Linked DNA regions of Schizosaccharomyces pombe. Changing the gene in region 3 together with the main gene of any one other region gives a genetic interaction. Each region holds a gene or a part of one and is shown on either strand. Other genes may lie near its edges.

Region 1 (6,366 bases), on a different chromosome or scaffold from region 3:
TTAGTTAGTCGGCATTCGCACGCATTGATCGGTCTGTCTTACTCCTCGAATTCTTCTACCCTAGGTGACTCAGGAATAGGCGGGCGCTCGTGATGCATAAGGATGCTGTCCAGTTCTTCATCTATATTTTTATGTTTAGTTTTTCAATTTGGTCATTAATAAATTTTTTATACCTGCGTAAAGGTCTGTTTCTGAATGGCTTTGAATGGGGGGATTTTGCAGAGCTGGCAGACTTTCATGAATGTCATTCTCAATGAGATCTGATATAGGTTTATCCACATTGGAAATTTTCTTCTCTATTGAATTTTTATGTTCTAGCTTAACACTTTTATTTGCATGGCTTTCTATAGGGGTAGATACTTTCTGAGCGAACCGTGCATAGGGTCTTTTGTTTGCGCGTAAAAGGTTGTCGTAGTTGAACTCAGCCTAATTTTGCATTTCTGTCAGCTTAATTATTTTTAAATTTTATGTGTTTCCATATTACCTGGGCAGGTGCCATTTTCAAGATTTTTTGAATATAGCGTTTGTCGTAAAGGCAGTTACCCATGCTACTTCCAAAGTTTCGAAGAGCTCTCTTTAATGCGTCCGTAGTTCCTTCCTTTTTACATTTTTCGTAAGCTAATGCCTTCACTCGACAATTCTCTATAGATCCATATCCAACGTCCTAGAAAAACCATTTGTTAGCAAGAAATTGGCCACAATCTGATATGGAATAGTTAAGAACGAAAAAGTTATGAATTATTTCGAAAAAAATACCATTTGCTATAATTAATTTAACCGGTATCACGAAATATTACTGAGGACATGTTTTGTTTACCTCATGAAAGGAGCCATCCTTTAATGTAACGCGTACAATAACGCTGATTCCAACATTAAACTTTTTCTCTTTCGTTTCTTCTACCTTTTAATAATGATTAGTAAAAATAAATAAATATAGGCTCAAGAATTGATACGATTTGCACTTTTTTCGTAGAATTTTGACGCAAAATTAACACTTACATAATCGACATGAATGTCTTGAATGGAAGAAGACCACCCATTAAATCCAAATATTTCATTTGCGAGCTCAATTGCTTTCCATGCTTCTAAGTATGTAACAGATCCTCCTCCTGGACCACTTCGGCGAGAAATATACTCTGGGCCAAGTTGCATAGCAAGCAGTTTTGTCATCTTATCCTGTTGCGAATCAGTAAACTCTTCACAAGACGATTGATCAGGTAGCGAGCCCATTTTGAAAATGTTTTGGGGATCTTAATTTAAAGGAATGTTAAAAGAAGAATAATGGGTTTTTTATACGCGTCTTTCGCCACGTCACATTTGTTTGTTTACGCGTCTGTAAACATTGGACCTTGACAATTGAATGAACAAAAAAAAAAAAATCTAGCAAATTTAAAATGCAAATTAATAAAAAATCTCAATTTATTTCCTTAAACAAAGGCATGATTTTATAACGCAGAAAAAAAAAGCTTTTAAACATATAAGATTTCGAGAAGATTATGTCTGTTCTATTATACACTAAAAGAACAATTGAGCTTGCTAGTCACTTTCCTTCGACCTTACATTTAAGAACGTATTTGCTTTGTGTTACCAATTTATAAATGCTTGGTACACTCCAGAAAACAAAACAAACAGTAATGTGCTCTATGGTGTGCATAAAATTACTCATGGGCTGCTAGAAAGAGATTTAATTTTTTTAGGCAATTTCTTTATTTGTAAAATGATTTGCTTTGACATGTATTTCTTTAGAGATAAGTATTTCGATTTTTAATATTTTTGTTTATATATATGTAAATACGACTCTTAGGAAAATTATATATAAAAAAACCCAAATTTTCATTAACTAAAAATAATAACAATATTTTCTATAAATAAACTGCGCTGCAGAAGCTAGCAAAAACAAACCTGGTCTTATTAATTCCATCACCCACTCGTTTTTATTGTTTGCCCTTGTGCAATTGCTAGGTTAACGACTCAAAATTTGGCGTAACGCATAATATTTTAGGTAAAAATTTGTTTTTGATTAATAATCTGCAATTAAACTCTAATATACCAATTTGCTACCTAACTATGAAAGACATGTTTTACAAAGGAAATTGACTGCACTTCAACTTTCAGCTTCTTAATACCGTATATCAATTACAATCAATAGTATGAAATTCTCAACAGAACTGATTACTACTGGACTCAGTGTACTTTTGAATACAATAGTTCCAAAACTAATAAAGAAAATACTGAACATTCATGCAAAGCTTTTCCTAAACGTAGAGGTTCGAAATTTGACTTAACAGTTACAAATTTTATTTATTTAAAAATGATAAAAATCAATTGACATTTACAGTATTTTTTTTCATTCATTCAAATTTTTATTGTTTAACTGCGACTGATGTAGTTAATATGTATATGTTATATATTTTTTAGTGACAGACTTGGACACTATGCCTGAGTGGTTAAAGGGACAGACTAGAAATCTGTTGCGGTCTCCGCGCGCAGGTTCAAATCCTGCTGGTGTCGAATTTTTGCCAAAATAATGTTTTTGCATGTCGAAGTGAAAATAGACTAATTAAGAAGGAATACCATTCAATTCTTTGATTATAAGTATATTCTTACAAGTTTTCTACAAAGGTGAGTCCAATGAAAAGATGTTCATATCATTTTACTTAGTATGATCTTAGTCAACTACCCTTTTAGAGAATTATTGGTTTGCCAGCAAAAGGATATGCCGAATCATATGTTCTTAAACAACACCTTTAGAAGTGTATACTTGCTTCATGGCAGAGATATTTCGTTACCTACAATTCTGATAAACTTACAATTGCACAGATGCTTATCACTTTTTCACCCGTTTTAAAAGAAGAGCTTTATTCCATGGTACTGCTATCTTTCAAAGCAACCTTAAAAATCATATATCCAAAGATGCTCTTACTTTAATCTTCTTTGCGTGCTGCTTCAAGAAGAGGATCTATTTTTTTCGTTTTCAAAGCCTTCAAAAGACATGATTTGTACTCGGCAAAGAGCTCATCACAGTCTCTATTATGGAGATCACCTTTTAAGAATTTATTCGCATACCAATCGTTAAAGCAGGCATCATACTTCTTCTGTTCATAATTTAGTCAGCTAAAATTCGTCCACAGTGTTTATCATATAAAGAAAACTCTACCTTAGCAGGGGTACATTCTTCACTAACAGAGGACGACATAGTTGGATTCAGTAATCTTGATACTTTTCCAAACTGTTGAATGAATGAATTTTCTCCAGATCAATTAAACCAATTTCCTTGTCAAGGAAAAAAAAAATGAACGAAAAAAATTTAACAAACTTGAAGAAATGAATCAAGCAGTTTTCGATCCCAATTCCCTATGACCGTAGTAACGTGGTTGTCTAGTATGTGTAGAGCACTAAGCAAAATACCCCATGCCAGTTCAAGTTTGACACTCCACTTGGAACTTGTCAATAAAGCGAATTTGAATCTTATTTTTACTTATTTATTTGCATTAATCTTCAAATTTGCACGATTAGTGCTATTAAGCCTATAAAAAGTTGCAGTTCTATTAAATAGCCACATACATCTATTTTGTACATTACTATCCTGGCGTTTGCTGATTACGTCCTATTTTTGAATTATTCATTAGTCTTTTTTTTAGTGAAATCTTAGACTTCCAGAACCAGCTTTGTTATTTTTTTTTCTTTTTCTGGCAACTACGCTTGACAAAAAGTTTTTCATTAGGCAAGGATTTTAACCAATATAATGTCACTGGCAGATGAATTATTAGCTGATCTTGATGATATTGAGGAAACTACAGAATCTACAATTACTGATGAACTTGGGCCAGATGCGAAGAAAAGGCGGTTAGAGTTACAATTAGAGGAAGGAAATGGCATTTCTGCTGAATTAGAAAACGATTTGGATATTACCAAAATTAGCGATTCTGCTCAAAAATTGCCTAGTGAAGTTGCTAATAAATTTAATGACAATAATGAGAACATTTATCAGCTGTTGAATTCTACACGTCTTCGCGATATCATAGAAGGAACTGAGAAATATAAAGGCACCGAAAAACAAGCTATCACTGGAAACATCGAAGATGATCTCGAATATCACCTTATCGTGGATTCTAATTCAATTGCGATGGAAATTGACGATGAAATCCTGCGGCTGCACAGACTCGTGAAGGAATGGTATCATGACCGATTTCCTGAATTAAGTAGTTTGGTCTTGAATGCCTTTGACTATTGCAAAACTGTTAGTTCTCTGTTAAATGATTTAGACAACAGCAAAACCAAACTTTCCTTTCTTCCTTCTGCTACAGTGATGGTTATTGCTACAACAGCAACGACAACAGTGGGAAAGCCTCTTCCAGATGAAATGATAAAAAACGTTAAAAATTGCTGTGAGGCAATTCAGCAATTGGGTGAAGAAAAGCAAAAAATTATTGAATATGTCCAATCAAGAATTAGTGTCGTAGCTCCTAATTTGTCTGCAGTCGTGGGTTCTACCACAGCTGCCAATTTAATCGGCATTGCAGGAGGATTGACTAGACTTGGAAAGTTTCCTGCTTGCAATTTACCAGCGCTCGGAAAAAGGAGGCTGACAACAATTGGTATTAACAATCCGGCTGTTAGTGGGGATTATGGATTTTTGTATATGTCGGAAATTGTTCAAAAGACCCCTCCTGATGTACGAAAGCAAGCTATCCGAATGACTGCTGCTAAAGTTGCTTTAGCAGCAAGAATCGATTCCATTCATGAATATCCTGATGGCTCATTTGGCATATCTGCTCGAAAGGAAGTTGAACGGAAAATTGAAAAGCTTTTGGAACCTCCATCACAGAAACCAACTGTTGCGCTACCCGTTCCTGACGATAGGCCAAAACGTCGTCGTGGAGGAAGAAGAATTCGCAAGATGAAAGAGCAATATGCCGTAACGGAATTGCGGAGATTACAGAATCGCGTCGCCTTTGGTAAGGAGGAGGCGGAAGTCTTTAATTTTGACGAAACGGAAGGTCTTGGTATGCTTGGTCAAGAAGGTGAAGGAAAAATTCGTGCAGTGTCAATTGATTCTCGAACTAAATTACGGTTACCAAAAGCGCGGAAGGCCCAACTACAATCAATGGCACAGAAGAATCCCCTTGCTGCAAGCGGTTTACAAAGTTCATTATCCTTCACACCTATTCAAGGCATTGAACTAGTGAACCCCTTACTTCAACGACAACAAAAAGTAGAAGAGGCCAACAAATGGTTTCGTGATGGTGTTTTTACACAGATAAAGAAGGATTCTAATGAGCCGAAAAATAAATTTTCATAATAATGTCTTCATAATGATTAGTTACTTTGCATATAGCTATGTTGCTTTTGCATACTAGTAATACAGACCATAACTATGACCTGAGTGATTAAAATAAAATGATATTTTTAAAATTCTTCGAAAAAACTGATATTAACAAACAATTTTGAAAATTAAGAATATTGACTAATAGATGAAATTGCAACAAGCGCTTTTGCCATAAAGCTAGGCATAGCAGGAGAAGGCAAAATATCAAAATGAACGTATGAAACTATTACTTCAAGAATGATATAGTCAACCTTCAAAATGTGTGAAAAGAGAGTAAAAAAATACTAAAACCTTGTACGCGCGGCAAAAGGTAACCCCTAATTAAGTTGTGAAGTAAGAAAAAAAAAAGCGATACATAAAAAGAGCGAAAGATATTATTATTTACAGAAAAAAGAAAAATCTTTCATACCATTGCTCAATTGAAACGTAAAATTATCGGTTAGTGTGGAAGAAAATTATGAGTCATGGAAAGAACGTCTTTTGGAAAAGGAATGATCGGAGAATAGAGAGTTAGAGGACGCACTGTGAGGAATACTCCAATTATTTACAGAGGAACCAGGACGTTGAAGTCCCGTTTGTTCCCTTTGCGTATCGTTCCAATCTAACACGGAAGAAATTAATTGCAATATTTCGAAACGTTTAGTGTCAGCGCGAGGAAGCGTCAAAAAGGAGACAAACAAATTAGAAATAAGTTGTTTGTCAATTTTTTCTGCATTATTTCCATCTTTAAGCATGCAGAGAGCCTTTGTAAGATGTTCATTCAAAACAACGGCCTCGTGCTGCAGTTTACCAATAAGTAGGGTTTTTTCTTTCACCTCGTGCTCCAAATCAGAGACCCTTGAAAGCCTTTTCTGTGTAGCATCTAACTCATTTTGCAAATCTTCGTACTCTTTTGATTTAGAAGCGAATTTCTCAGTCACGTCGTCCATGGCCTTCTGCCAATTTCTGGTAAGTTCACCGAGGTTTTCAGTATGGGAAGCTTTGGTGGATTCTAATTCAATTTCTAGTTGATGCTGATTTGTCAAATGACGTTGAAT
Region 2 (7,694 bases), on a different chromosome or scaffold from region 3:
TTTGCAGATGAATACAAAGTTACAGCCAACGATAAACACTATGATTATAGGCTAAAATCCCATCGTATAAAAGATAAAATAACCACAAAATGCAAAGGTACGACCAAGTATTTTAATTCACGCCATTTCGAGATTAAGAATGCTGTTGAAAACCTTCCATCATTCAGCAGCAATCTAACTACTATTGGAAACAACCTAAGAATTTTTTGGAAAAATGGAAAAATCCGTTGCATCAAATTGACATGCACACCGGACGCAGAAATAGTAAATTTTACATCAAATCCAAATCGTTATAGGTTTTATGAAACGAATATGCAAGAACTCATTAGAAAAACAATATGCGAAAAATCCGATAAAGCGATAGAAAAAACGTTTTTATGCGCTCAACTCTTCAAAACATTTTGCGAGGATGGCGTACTGCAAACCTTTCAGCCTGGATTTATTCAACTAGACATCGCATCAAATTTACAAGAAATAAAGAAAGGCACTAAAGAATATAGCCTTAAAAGTCTCGAAATGACCACCACAAAAGAAAGCAATGAGACATTATGTTCCAATGACTCCAAACATAGAATCGCACGTTTAAAAAATGAAGATAATACCCAGAAACCTATTAGCAAAAAGAGGAAGTCTAAAAAAGCTTCCCATAAATATCTTAGCTCAAGAACTGCTCCCAATGTTGACTTTGGCAATTTCGCAAAGGAAAGGCACAGAGAAAATGATGTTTCAGAGCTTTACTCCAAGACTAAAAGGACTTCAAAAATTAGGGAACTATACAAAGAAATTGGTTATGACAAGAATGAGTTTATTCATGAATTGCGCGAAAATGAGGGTCCATCCGTTCTCTACGATTCTGGATTAGATCAAAATGGCACGAATTATGATGACGCTTTTGCTGCCCCGGAAGCCATAAGCATTGAAAAGTATGTTAGCATAAACGAAGAAGATCCCAAAAGTCCTAAAAAGGAAACAAGTTACCAAGTACAGGAAAAACTTTCACAATTTTTTCAAGAAGAGATGATTCATCTGCTAGAAATGGGTGAAGCCTGCACATCTCGAGAGTCGCAAAAAACAAGGAAAAAGAACTTAAAGGAGAACATTAGAAAGCAACGAACTACGAGTACTGCTATTAGGGACATTGCCATAAAATTTCTCGATGACGCCAAATGCGAAACAGAAGACTCAACAAATTTGACGAATAGAGAAGGTGAAGCAGAAAAGACACTAAATACACAACCTTGGAAAAATCTAATTGAGAATTTTATATCGGAGCTTCAAGCCGAGGAAGAAGAAAACAATATCACAGAATGGTCAGACATAATCTCCGTCCGAAATGATGAAGAAAATCAAATTTACGAACTTCCTACTTGTCAATTGGAGACCAATTTGTTGGTATAGATTCAATTGACTAAACGACTGGAGGTTTCGTTAAAATATGCCAAGCTGGTCTGCCAATGCATGTACATCACAATGTAAATAATAATTAATGAAATGATTTTGTTTTTAAAACATTATTCGATAGTAATAATACCAAACTGTTAGTACATCGGATACAGCAACAAAATAATTTACACAAAGAAAAACATCCTAATGTATAACAAGGAGTAATGTGTACAGTAAACAGTTTATTTTTCAAATATACAACAGGGTAGCCCAGAGAGAACCAACATACAAAATATGAAGAAAAAACACAGGTTGCGAAATTTTTATTGAGTTAATGAATAGCACACTTAGAAATAAAGTCGCGATTGAATGAAAGTAAACGTATTCCCAATAACCTCTTAAAAATCAAATCTTCATATGAATTACTCGAACTGGAAAGATATTCTGCAATTCAAAAGGCCCCTTAGCATGAAGGAGCTAGAGTAGTATTTTTCATACAATAATACCAAACATATTAATCAGTTAAGATAATATAAATTTTGGTAATATTTCATGAGCAAAACAAAATACCACAATATCATTGTGTGTAGTATGATATTGAAATTTAAATTTTTTAAGGAGGTTATAATGAAGCTTCCTTCATAAAAACAATCTTACACGACGGGACTCGAACCCGCAACCTTCTCGTAATTCACTCCCCAACAACGATCAGGTCGTATAGGAATGAGATGCGCTACCATTGCGCCACGCGTAACAACCTTTGCCTGGTTAAAATTTAGTATAATTTATGCGTAGCTTATTATGAGGATTAAATTTTGAAATATAGATTTTGCGGCATAATACGAGCTTAAAGAAACCAATTATTATATTTATTGTTGCTTATTGAAACGAAATAAATTTTATTCGATGTGTGATCTCCCAGTGCGAGAATACTGGATCAATTAATAGATTGACATAACTCTACGACCATAAGCAATTCTTCGATACCTAAAAAAAAATAACAACCACCAATATGAAGTGTCAATTTAGTAGTTAAAAACAACTAAAATAAATTGCATAAGTTTATGGGCTTATCTCGTTTTTACTCAACTTCAAAGCAGTAAGGAGCATCATTGCAATCTATACAATTGGCAATCGGATGCCTTAATCTTTTTTTTTAGTAGTTAAATCTTATCTAATATTCCAATTTCAGTATGAAGAGCAGCTAGATTTTACGACATGATCAGAAAAGACATAGTTTTATCCTCATGACTTCCAACTATAATAATCGAAGTACGATGCTTAGGCCAGTAAGCGATGCAAAGCATTTCAAGTTTGAACTTCAGGAAATTAAGAGTAACTTATTATCATGCTTAGTTATATTTCTTTACCCTAGATTGTATAAGCAGCTGATGAATTGGTGCTGACCATTAATTAAATTTGATGCAATGATGCTACTGATCAATTCAAAAGTAAAAAAGAAAGCTTTATACATGTAAATCTATTTCATCATCAGATTAACCGCTTATATACCCATGTGTACTTATTGATCTGTTTCCGTAAACATATTCTTAAATTAATAGAGGATTGTAATATTGCATATAGAACAATGAACTTAGTTTTAGGCAATTAAATCTCCGCGTCAATGTGATATTAAAGGAAACTGGAAATTCATTTTATACAAACTGATTATCTCGCACCCAGGTATATTTCTTTGCTTGCCTCCATTTCCCTTTTGTACGAAGCAAAAATTGACAAATGTGTTTAGCAATCGCAGAAAGAGGGAGTGTGATAAACATTGGGTTGGAATCTCTCACTATGCTTTGAACCTTGTGGGCTTCGAGAAGACCACTTGCCATCAGAGGAATCACAAAGCGTATTATGTCTTTTGAAGTGACAAGCATATAAACTGAATTTGACTTTCTCACAATCCGCCCATGTTGTAGTAATGTTTGCAAAGAGAAATTAAGCGCCAGTATGTGATTTCCATCACAGTTCTCTACTATTTCATTTTCGACGTTGAATATATGAACAAGTGGGAGGTGCAACTCTTTTGCTTTTAAATAAATAATGAGTTCTTCAATTGTAAATCCAGCTTGCACATTTAATTTACACATCTGCCTTATGCACTTAAGTAACTCCTTCGCATGATCTTTAGGAAAATAGGATTTCTTGGGTGTGCGAATGATTGAATGGTGATTTTTAGAGATTTTGGTTAAATTTTTTTTGTATCTCATCCTTTTCTGCCATGCCTTCCATTCATCATTTGGATCACGAAGTTCTTCAAACGACTGAGCAATTAATTCAACCTCAGATCGGAAAGAATTTATCTTTCCAAAGACACAGACAACATTTCCAGGAGACATAGATATTGCTCTTTTTGACATTGAAAAATCATCTTGAATAATAAACACGACACGCAATACCATCCCGCTACAATCATCCACTAAATTCAGTTAGGAAATAGAAAAAAGGGAGCTATAGAGGCAGATGCTTCTCAAAAGTTGATTTTATAAAAAACCTTAACTAGATTCAACAACTAAATGAGTCGTGTATGCAGTAGTGGAACTGCTTATTGCCTCAATGCTGATATTCGTTACCTGTTAAAACATGCTTTCCTTCATAAATATCAATTGCCGCAATATAGCCAACAATTTGAATCCATCTTATGGGAAATCCCATCCAGAAGCCAATGTATCCTAGATATTTGTAAGAATCACTTTGTGATATTTATTTTACAGAAAGAGCACTTACGCTGTAAATGTGGATGAAATGAAATTTTATGAACATCGCTAATAAACATGGGGTTCCATCTTGATAATGTAGGAAATTGATGCGTTAGTTGATTTTCATTTTCTAGCATTTATTAGGTCATTCCCTTAAAGACTTTCAACCATATGATTTGCAATTTTTCAAGTATATAAGTAAATAAAAATTAGTATGCTTCTGGTCAACTATCAACAACAATCGCAGCGTTTTCGAAAATTAAGCAATGATTTGGTGTTTGTGAAGTCTTCATCTTCCTGAGTGCGCGTAATAAGGATAGAGCAATTCTACGAGGATAATAACTATTTAAGTTTCTACAGTAAGATTAAAAGGAAAAAAAATATCTTAACTCTTTATTAGGACATGCATTGATGCTGTTATAAAAAATGCTAATTGACTAAACAACTTTATCAATTGAATTTAGTCTGGTTTCACGCAACTTAGTTATAATTGAATTTGAGAGAAGATCCTAAAAAAGACGTCTACTGACAAAAAGTGAGAGTACAGAATTCGTCAACCAATTTTGTAAATGTCACACCAATGTGCATTGTTTATATCTTGCTAAATTCTAGCACACAAATTCCTATCTTCATATACCGGATAATTCTAAATTATATGATTTATTTATGAATAGGGAATACGCAAGGAGGTATGAAAACCAAACTTCTTCAGTTATTGATGTTTCACATTCAACTGTTTTGAAGATAAATTATATTGCTCCTACTGTGTTCGATCAAGAAACCTCGTGGAAAAATGCATTCTTTAAAAGAGTAACTAAAAAAAACCAAAACTCCCAACTTTTTTTTGTTTTATGTTTATAACGGTCTATCAATTCTTCAATAAAGTGTTACCAAACAAAGCACTTAGAGGTAAGGATGGCAAAAATAAAGGCTTTTCTTAGGTCGAAATATTTGTTGTGAAACAAAGGGTATCCGCGAATAGCATGACAGCGGCTGTTCTGCTCAGCTTTCATCTGAAATTGAATAAACTAGCAATACCAAGAATACAAACAATGTACCCAAACTCATAGGTAAAGCATATAGAAACAAATAACCTCTTATCATCAGTGAATATGAATTATTTTTGCTGAATATACTCCCTGTTTTCAAAATTTAGTCTCACATGATCAATGTTGTTTCGACAAATGTCCTATGTATAAATGTAACAGCCACTATGTGACCTTCACCAGAGCCATACTTGGTAATAATACACTTTTAAGCATACGTTAAAGGGGTTTCGATTGCTGACAATAGAAAAATTTTTTAATTAAATTCTAAATACAACGTTGCTAGTTCAATCGAACTATTCTAAAGTCAGTTTAGTGAAAACAACATGGCCGAAGTTTTAGATCTTGAAATTGACCCAATTTCAGATGGAGAAGATGATACCTATTCTAGTGAATTGGATGATGATTTAAAGGATTCCATTGAACAATTGGAACGAGTTTTATGTTTGGTGGTGTTCCCGTTGTTAGGAAAGTTTCTTGGTCGTAAATTCGCATTTCATGGTAAGTTAGTATAAATTAAAGGAATAGGAATAGATGGTGGATTTTTTTTATTTGCTTTTAGTTTCTCAAAGAGGAAATAAGTTTTGCAAATAATTGAATAATAGAGCAAAAAAATCCGTTTTTGGAGAAAGATTGAGCACAACTGATTTTCTTATTCCATCAGCTTGAATTATAGCTTTTTCTTCCTATAAACTGTTTTTAAATGGTCTGCTTGTTGGTCTACATTTACATCTTTCGTTATTTTTTAAACATTTTTGTTTCCATTACTGTTCTATTAGTCTTTCATTCTTAACCTTTTCTACATCCTTAAACTTCTGTACATTTATTGTATACTAACCCTTGGATTTAGCATGGGCTCGCTGGTTAGAACGGAGGCGCTTGGTTAGTAATTAAAAAGATTTATTTCTGAATCTTCTTACATTCGCTGGTTTAATACTTATTGTTTCTGTTTCTATTATGATATTGTGTGATGAAACCCATAGTGTGCCATTCGTTCTCGGATGAAATTCTCTTTATGATCTGAATAAGAATTAATGAATATTTGATTACTGTATAAATCAATGTACTCGACATTTATTAAATTGTAACGGTTTTTGAATCCGAACTTCAAAAAAAATTGGAAATGTGTGTATTCATCGTTTTGCTTATTGATACTATTCATTATTTTTTCCTTTCTTTTTGTTCAAATGAACAAACTGTTTAGTAAAAATGAGACATTTGCATCTACGACAGCCTCGACATATTAATAAACGACGTTAATGGGGTGACTATTAGTAATCTATGTTCCAGTATTATACCTGCCTCATCAGATAGTAATTTCATGACTAAAATTAAAAAATTAATTAGAAATCAACATTTCTAGAACCTTAAGTATTAGATCTGTTGATTCTGTAAATCAGTTCTTGCTGCAGCTTATAAAGCACACGCACACCAAACTTGCTGCATTTTTCTGTATAGTCTTCACAACTATTTAATCAAGTAAATAATCATGTTCAGTGGTATTAAAGGCCCTAACCCTTCAGACTTAAAGGTATGAATCAAAAATATGAACTTGCGGTGTTTTCTTTGCGTTTCCTATTTAGCGCTGCTTGTTTTCACTTATATCCATGAAAAGAAGTTCGATATGTTTTTTTTTTTTAGTTGAACCTTTTCTTCTGAATACCGAATTTTATTTTATTTTCTACACGATATAATTATTGCTTAAGTGTTCTATTTACAAAAGCGCTTGGTCTTTTTTTTTTTAAATTTCTCCTCTTTCTCACGCAGTTTTTTCGTGAAAATAGTTAATTCAAAAGTTCTAATCAATTTTTTTTATAGGGACCAGAATTGCGCATTCTTATTGTCCATGCCCGCTGGAATCTTCAAGCCATTGAGCCTCTTGTTAAGGGTGCCGTTGAGACCATGATAGAAAAACATGATGTGAAGTTGGAGAATATTGACATTGAAAGTGTTCCGGGAAGTTGGGAACTTCCTCAAGGTATTCGTGCTTCCATCGCCCGCAATACATATGATGCTGTTATTGGCATTGGCGTTTTAATCAAAGGTTCCACCATGCATTTTGAATATATTTCAGAAGCTGTTGTTCATGGTCTTATGCGCGTTGGCCTTGATTCAGGTGTTCCCGTCATTCTAGGTCTATTAACAGTTTTAAATGAAGAGCAAGCTCTTTATCGTGCAGGTTTGAATGGTGGCCATAACCATGGAAATGATTGGGGATCAGCTGCTGTAGAGATGGGATTGAAAGCTTTGTATTAATTAAGTTGAATCCTTTGCTCATTTTTTTGTTAATAAAATATGCTACTGACTGTTTTGCTCTTCGAAAGGACCTACTGACATGCTAAAGCTTTAGTCATGATCCTTTATACATTGTCGCTTTCTTATGAGCACCGTCTTAGTTGAACAAGTATGTTTTTCATTCAATCGTTTGCAACGTATTTTCATGATTCCCCAGTTTGTTAAGATATACAGCTATGGGTTAATGTATACGATGTTTTAAATTTGCTTAAGACTTAATCCCAACTTATTATGTTTTGTAAGCTTTATTTTGAATATATTACTG
Region 3 (8,369 bases):
GAACATACATTTCCTTATGATATTCTCTAATTTTCTCGATAGACAACTTGCGAAGTTCGCTGGGATGACCACCAGTCTCATAATAGTAACCACTGGTAACTGGATATTGACTAGTTCTCATACAATCAAACATAACATCCGTCTCTGAGCTTTGAGTATTCTGCATTTCAGAATAAACAACACCGGACTCTTCTCCCATACCATTTATATGATAAACTTCTGTGCAAAACGCTTCATCGCTTAGAATTGGAGACAAAATGTGATCTGCAAATACAGGCAACAGACGAAGAAATCCATCTTCCTCAGCAGCAGAAAGCTCATATGAAGTATAATCAACATCGGTACAAGCATTGATATCACCACATGCCCTGCCAGCAAATTTTGTAAGAATGCCATTCATGGGATACTTTTTACTGCCCATGAAACACAGATGTTCAAGGGTATGAGGACAGCCAAGATTATCGTGAGCTTCAGTTGCTACTACAAATGATCCTTGTAATCTGGATGTTGGAGTTTTTACTGAAGCGACGCTGAACCCAGTTGCATCGTTTATCCATTTGTTGACCGTGTAATTCAATATACGCTCACTTGAGATTTGGCGAAATGATGTGTCATCAGAAAGCATACTTTAATAAAGTTATCCAAAACAGCAAAATCGAGCAAAATGAGCAATACAATGTCCCGTTTCCCAACGAGAGTGCTGTTGACTTTAATAAAAAATCCTTAACAAGAGAATACAAATACGATGTTTAAGGATTCTCTATTAAAGAAATTTAGAATTACCTCTATAACAGCGTAACAACTAAGTAGTAGTAAGAAAATGGTCAAGAAATTTCATACTTTAGTATGCATAAACTGTATAGACGAGGTAACGTCGTTACTGTTCAGTTTGGTTTGCAAACACCTCCTTAATAGAATAAACGTTCGCTATTAATGAATAGGTTTGAGATATGTTCAAAGATAGTTTTGTGTTATTAATGCAAACATACTAGTTGTAAAAAACGGATTTATCATATGGTAATTAAAAAGTGATTTGTACCTCAAAATGAACGAGCAATGTACTCCTAGTCCAACTATAGGTTTTTACACTTGTTAACAAACAACCAGTAGATGCATTTATAAATTACCTTTCCTAGGTTTTAATTAAGGAAATTAAAAAGTCTGCATCTTTTGGATGATAATAGCAAACCTATATATTTTGCAACCACTATGGTTGCACAATACTTAATTTGCTTCTACCGTACACTATCTATCTACTTTAAATGCTTTGAGTTTTAAGAGTTATGTCTTTGGTAGCCTACGACTCAGAGGAAGAGGAACAAACTTCGTTAGTAAATGAAAACAATGATATTAAAGGACGTTCTGAGGAACCCCATTGGAAAATCCCAAATTCTCCTAAAGCTGAAGTTGACACAGAGCTGGAGAAAAAGATAAAGCAATTTATAAAATTAAAGGCAAAGGGCATTCATTTTCATACGAGACTATCAGAAAATGAAAATTTCAGAAACCCAAAGTTACTTGATAATTTGCAGGATTTTCTGGATATTAAGGAGCCAAGAGGAACTATGATATCTAAGGATATGTGGGATCCAACGGACTTTCATAAAAACGTCTATGCATCCGCACTCTCTAAATCACAGGATGAAATGATTGCCAGGCGTGAAAATTACCAAAAGCATGATAGAACTGAAATTAAATTTCAAACCTCTCAACATCCTAAATAAATTTGAGTATCAAAAGATAATGTGTTTGTAAAAATAATTTCGTTACCGAATATATATAAGACTACTTAATTTAATACCTTAGCCTGTTATGAATAAATGATCCAGAAATGCCAATTTTGATAAGACATTTATATGGCTAGTAGCTTAAGTCATTAGTTTACCCTAGTCAATTTTCAAAAATAATAATTGTTATTATAATAATTTTAACTACCGATAGAACAAAAAAGCCTTTCATGAAGAGAATCAGAACCGTAAATAATAAATAGCATCACTTTTAACTATTCGAAATTACTGATTGAAGAAGTTGTCGGAGCCAATTCCTGCAAAGAAACCAAAACTAAATGCAAAAACCTCCGAAGACTCCAGTAGCCAACTTTCTGAATTCGTTTTCTTCGTATCTCTTGATTTAATACATCTCGAGCAAACGATTCATACACCTACATCAAAAATTAGTATTTATTAATATTCAAAAGCGTAAATTACTCTTAAATTTTAGGAAAAGACGCTCTTTTATAGTAAGGAACAGGGTAGAACTTACCTGCGCCGAAATTTCTTGTAAAACACCACTGTCGTAAAAAGTCCAGCTTCCATCAAAGTCAGAAAGCGGTTTTGATACATGACAAAGAATAGGGATGAATGTCCGTGTGGAATTAATGTAAGCAATAATAGGTCGAATTAAAGCATTGTTGATATAGCTTACTTGATTTGTAAAAATAGGAATTACGGCTTTGGGATTATGTAATTGCACATTAACATCAAAGTGAACGTCTTTGTAAACATCCTCATCTTTTTCTTTCTTTTTCAATTTGTCCATCAAACTTATCCACGCTTTTTGGAAAGAATTTTCCGAAGGTTCTGATGGAAAAGAAATATTAACTAAAAAATCAACACTGCCATCATTAATCCATCCAAATGCTCCCGAAACACCTCGATTTAGATGATCGATTGCGACATTATCAATACGCAAGCGACTATGTCGCATATCATCGAGTTGTTTACCGACTTTTAGGTACGGTGAATATGGACGAAGTTGTAATCGATGAATAGTAAACATACTATTATCAAAGCTTCCGGTGAGAGTCTTAGCATTCATTAAATCATAAAATAACCATTGTTTTCTAAGCCTAGGAAGCTCACAAAAGAAAACACTAACGGGGAACTTCCGAAAACCTTTAGGTTGTAATAAAGTAACACGCAAATCCTCTAGCTTAAATTTTTCGATTTCAAAATCCCCCCAGTTGTGTTTACGACGGTAATCACGAGGATCGGAGGATGGATCCCATTCAATAAACCGTCTATCAACTACACCTCTAACACCTTTCAGCTGAAGTTCCTTAACAATCCCTTTACCATTTAAAAACCTAGCAAAGCTAAACGAAACATCTGCCTTATCAATGGATAACTCAAATTGAGTATAGTTTCCCTGACTCAGAGCCTCAGTGTCAGGTTCCTCATTAGAATCATAACGTTTTCGTAAAGCCATGTACTCTTTTTCATAATCAGACTTATTATTCGGATTTTGTGCTCCAATGCCATTCAAAGTATCAGGTCTTCTAATTACGGAAATTTTGTTGAATGTGATTAATCCTTTCCTCCAATTGGGAACAATTGCGCTTTCAAAGACGAATTGGAACCCTGTATTTTTTGTCATTAACTGACCAATCCATCTTCCTAATAGTTCCTGTGCAGAAACAGTGTTTAAGGTGTACAATAACAATGAAAAAAAAGTTGTTGTACCAACTACGATCCAAACTATATGGCTCACAAGCCACCAACTGAAAAAGGCAGTAACATTATCCACTGTTAAGGGTTTGTTTTGCTTAAAAAGAAAGCTTTTCATTTTTTTTAATACGCGAAATGGCATTGCCCTTTTAACGCCGGAAGATTGATTTGATTCATTTTTGTTGAGAATCTCAGGGTTTTCAACATCTCCAGACGAGTAACTTCTAACCATAGATATTTGCTTAATAATTACAGGTGTAGTACGGGACAATATCCCACTGTTTGAAATATTCCTAGCTGCTAGTCTAGGAAGAGTAGGAAAACTCTTGAAGCTGCTAGATTGCAAAACGGTTTGCTTGAGTAAGGCATTTTGAGTAGAAGCACGAACATGATAAGAAATTAAATAGGGCTTACGGGCCTGAACAATCCTTGCTATATTCTTCGCAAGTCGTGATTCGAGCATCAACTTATGAGGTCAAATAAATAATACCTTCTCGAAAAGCACAATTAGTGTATATAATTACAGTCAAGACAAATTATTCTATATATGCTTCTGTTTTAAAGAAATAAACTGCCTGTAATGATATATTATAAAAGTTTCAATGCCTTTCCTGTATATGGTTGTCTGCAGAAAGAAAATAGGAGAATAACTAGCAAAGTTTACACTAAAATCTTTAGCTAAGATGGCAAAATATATAGAAAATAACGATGATCCATTCCAAATTATTATATATGCTTCTGAGTATACACTTTATAAATCAGATGTTTTGTACGAATGAGATGACATCGAATTATTACATACTTTGCTTAATTATAACAATTAGCTAACTAGCTGACTATAAAGCAACAACTGTATACACATTTTATACTAACTGCCTGCATTAACTACTAAAATTTAATTATGCTGGTTGAGTTATTAAGACTATTGCGCTTAGTTTGAATAGAATTCCAATTCATGTCCAAGGCATTAAGAAGCCGCCAAAAAGCATACTGTTATAGTAGTATTTAGCTTCTGAATATAACTTCACCGAGTTCTTTTCAAGATAAAATTAATTTTATCTTTACTTACATATTCCAATTCTTTATTTTCGTTAATTTCATCTGGCAATTTTAATGTTGTTGATGCAACGGCTAAATAGACAAAGAAAAGTTGAGATTTCATTTTCGTTATCTATGATATATGCGTTATGCCTGTTAAAAATATTTACAGAATCACAATCCATTTTTAACTGAATTAATGGACGCAAATTATGTATTAAATGTCTAGGTCTTATGCACACCAAGGTAGCATGCGTGCAACATGAATGTTACAATATGTTTCTCGCAAAAAGCTATTTGATTACTTCTTTTTGTTTTTTCTTCGATAGTTGAACTCTATTTATGTCACCTGGCCTTTGCTTCCTAAAAGAAATTTCAGTCATACAAGCTACACCAAAGCCTACTACAAGAAGTTTTGCCAATTGTTGTAAAATGGGAATTCTACAGGTATATAACGATTAGTTGATTTTTTATGAATATATTTGGGGTTTAAAACTTTGTATTAACGTTTTTATAGCATTTGATGCACATTTTAGACATTCCAGGCTTCCCTTGGAAAATAGTAATTGCTGGATTTTCTATTGGAAAGTATGCCTGGGATTTGTATCTTCGTCGCAGGCAAGTGCCATATTTGTTGAGAGAAAAGCCTCCTGCTATTTTAGCTGAACACGTTGATGAAAAAAAGTACCAAAAAGCATTGTCTTATGCTCGTGATAAAAGTTGGTTTTCTACTATTGTTTCCACATTTACTTTAGCCGTTGATCTTTTGATTATTAAATATGATGGACTTTCATACCTTTGGAATATCACTAAGTTTCCTTGGATGGATAAATTAGCTGCTTCATCCTCAAGGTTTAGTCTATCGACTTCGATTACGCATTCCTGTGTTTTCATGTTTGGACTTACTCTGTTTTCTCGTTTAATTCAAATTCCTTTCAATCTTTACTCAACCTTTGTGATCGAGGAAAAGTATGGTTTTAATAAATCGACTTTAAAGATCTTCGTAATTGATCTTTTAAAGGAATTAAGCCTTGGTGGTTTACTTATGAGTGTTGTCGTTGGTGTTTTCGTTAAAATTTTGACCAAGTTTGGTGATAATTTTATTATGTATGCATGGGGTGCCTATATTGTTTTTGGCCTCATTTTACAAACTATTGCTCCTTCTCTAATTATGCCCTTGTTTTACAAGTTTACACCGCTTGAAAATGGAAGTCTTAGAACACAAATTGAAGAGTTAGCTGCCAGTATCAATTTTCCCTTGAAGAAGCTTTATGTGATTGATGCTAGTCGTAGATCAACTCACTCCAACGCTTTCTTTTATGGGCTTCCATGGAACAAAGGAATTGTACTTTTTGATACTCTTGTGAAAAATCATACGGAACCGGAACTTATTGCAATTCTTGGTCACGAACTTGGTCATTGGTACATGTCTCATAATTTAATTAATACTATTATAGACTACGGAATGAGTCTGTTCCACCTCTTCTTATTTGCTGCTTTTATTCGAAATAATAGCTTATACACTTCCTTCAATTTCATTACCGAAAAACCTGTAATTGTTGGACTTCTCCTTTTTTCGGACGCATTAGGTCCTTTATCCTCCATCCTTACGTTTGCCTCCAACAAAGTTTCTCGCCTTTGTGAGTATCAAGCGGATGCTTTTGCTAAACAATTAGGGTACGCAAAGGATTTGGGTGATGGTTTAATACGCATTCATGATGACAATCTTTCTCCTTTGGAGTTTGATTCTTTATATACCTCGTATTACCATAGTCATCCCATCTTGGTTGATCGTTTGAATGCAATTGATTACACGACGCTAAAAAAGAACAATTAGGTTTCATGAGTGAATGAAATTATGTCAAATGCACGAATTTGCCTTAAAATTGTTAAAATATATTATGCTTACATATCTGTATAGAAAAATGATATTACTAGTAACAATGAGTAGCAACGATTCAATATGAACGTATACTAAACTAAATTTGAGAAATTGCAACATTCCTTAACGAAAATAAAGTCAGGGGGAAAAAAATCAATAAAAAAAAAGAAACATCAAAACAAAAAAAGACGATATGCAATAACTCGTAACAGCACATACAAAATTGGTTCATAAAATTTGAGTATGGTGGACAGCACCAGCAAATGCGAAATATCAAAAGCGAAGGGAACGTATGAGCATATTAATCAATTAACTAATTTAAGACTTGCCTAAAAATCCACTATTCATAGAAAGATATATCAGGAGGACAAATCAAAATTATGCTTGCTTACAATTAAACTTGCAAACATTAAACATTGGAAGTCGAATAGCAAAGCGTCTTCATCATTAAACGTAGGTGGAGAAAATTTCAAGCAGATAAACAACAGTGCTATAATTTCAATATAGCAAAAAGTAAAAATTGATAACCGGTTGTCTAGTGATTTTTCCACAAAGGTTTAAAAAAAAAGAACGGTTTTTAAGGAGCATCTTTGAATCCCTTATCCTTTTCTTTGTACTCCGTGACGCTTTGAGATAACTTCTCTTGCTTTGTAAAAAACGACAAAAGCATTCCTACTCCTGCAACTGGACAATTTACAATCCAAATCATACGAATGGCATTAGCATAGGCATTGAATACAAAGTTCTTTTCGCTTACGTTGGGAATTGAAGCAATTTGAGAGTATGATAGCCCTGCAGAATACTTCGTTCCTTTTAAAAGTGTCGTTAGTTGCTGATCATAGATTACCGCTCCCATCGATATTCCCACAGATGCACCCATATTTCTTAGCAGCATAAATGCAGAACAGGAAGTCGCTATCAAAGCAGGAGGTACAGAAGCTTGAACAGCAATGAGATTTGGTTGAAATAGATTTCCAGTTCCGACTGCTGTCAAAGCCAAGAATCCCATGGTACGTGATATGTCCGTGTTATAATATATCGCAATCATACTACCGGTACCAGCTAATAAAACTATCCATCCTCCAATCATTGGATATCGATAATTTTTCAACTTTCCTATTCCCATACCACTAACAGCAGAAAGAAGTGAGGATACAACCGCTAGAGATAATGTGTGAACGCCAGACATCAAGGGCCCGTCACCTTTAATGTTTTGGAAGTATACTGGGATGTAGTAAGTAATTGTTGAGACAATATAATAATGTAAAAAGGATGTTACCATTACAGATGTTAAAGAGAGCGTTTTAAATGCCGAGGGAGTAATAATTCTAGTACGGGTAGTATAGAATTCATTGACAACAAAACCGGCAATGCACAGGATACCAAAAATTAAATAGCACAAGACATTGGCATGGGCCCAATGACCTGTTGTAGATCCAATATTCAAACCAACTAAAAACAACACAACACCAGTCGTAATGGTAATAATGCCCACAAAGTCAAAATCACGTAAAAACACGCGAAACGAAACTGTAGGCTTGGGTACAAGATTGAGGAAAAAAATCAAAAGTGCGAGCGAAAGACCACCAGTAGGTAGATTAATGAAGAAAATCCACCGCCAACTAGCCTTTTGCGAAATTGCACCACCGATTAAAGGACCCATGACAGAAGCAAGGCCCCAGGTGACTCCCATACAACCTGTGTAGTAAGGTCTAGTCTGTAAAGGAGTAATGTCAGCTATAACGATTGTAACTAGAGATGTAATGCCTCCACCGCCGATGCCCTGCACAGCACGGCATAGTACAAGCCAAAGCATATTTTGGGCAGCACCACACATGGCACTACCGAAGAGGAAAAGAACAATGGAAGTATAGAGGACAATTTTCCTACCGACTACTTCACTCATGATACCACAAAATGGAAGAATTGAAGTTTGAGCCAAAGTATAAGCAGTACCAATCCACGAATACGATGAACCGCCATCGAGATTTGCTACAATAGTG

What was found.
Region 1: of mdm31 (region 3) and mdm35, a mutation in one rescues a mutant of the other (synthetic rescue), as found in Schizosaccharomyces pombe (one large-scale study listed by BioGRID).
Region 2: mutations in mdm31 (region 3) and stn1 together harm fitness more than expected from each alone (negative genetic interaction), as found in Schizosaccharomyces pombe (one large-scale study listed by BioGRID).

Annotation. Positions count from the first base shown.
Region 1 is NC_003423.3:740,899-747,264, reverse strand, and holds mdm35 (protein Mdm35), read right to left. Parts: upstream 3,197-6,366; coding exon 3,158-3,196; intron 3,096-3,157; coding exon 2,925-3,095; 3' UTR 2,628-2,924; downstream 1-2,627. Other genes in the region: rti1 (DNA repair and recombination protein), read right to left, coding at 43-121, 174-426, 485-664, 818-901, 1,000-1,230; U4/U6 x U5 tri-snRNP complex subunit Prp31, read left to right, coding at 3,746-5,302; golgin protein Rud3, read right to left, coding at 5,785-6,366.
Region 2 is NC_003423.3:1,158,858-1,166,551, forward strand, and holds stn1 (telomere cap complex subunit Stn1), read right to left. Parts: upstream 4,226-7,694; coding exon 4,117-4,225; exon of another isoform or gene 4,062-4,116; coding exon 3,963-4,061; exon of another isoform or gene 3,833-3,962; intron 3,809-3,832; coding exon 3,039-3,808; 3' UTR 2,628-3,038; downstream 1-2,627. Other genes in the region: protein meu18, read left to right, coding at 1-1,398; protein mim2, read left to right, coding at 5,461-5,635, 5,985-6,028; rib4 (6,7-dimethyl-8-ribityllumazine synthase), read left to right, coding at 6,624-6,665, 6,953-7,390.
Region 3 is NC_003424.3:1,934,074-1,942,442, forward strand, and holds mdm31 (protein Mdm31), read right to left. Parts: upstream 4,076-8,369; 5' UTR 3,910-4,075; coding exon 2,263-3,909; intron 2,162-2,262; coding exon 2,003-2,161; 3' UTR 1,890-2,002; downstream 1-1,889. Other genes in the region: sdd3 (metallopeptidase), read right to left, coding at 1-625; mug151 (transcriptional regulator HCNGP-like protein), read left to right, coding at 1,284-1,724; ste24 (putative CAAX prenyl protease), read left to right, coding at 4,917-4,931, 5,002-6,321; SPOM_SPAC3H1.06C (transporter), read right to left, coding at 6,944-8,369. UniProt on the Schizosaccharomyces pombe protein: Involved in the organization of the mitochondrial membranes and the global structure of the mitochondria. Also required for mitochondrial distribution and mobility as well as for the maintenance of mitochondrial DNA nucleoids structures.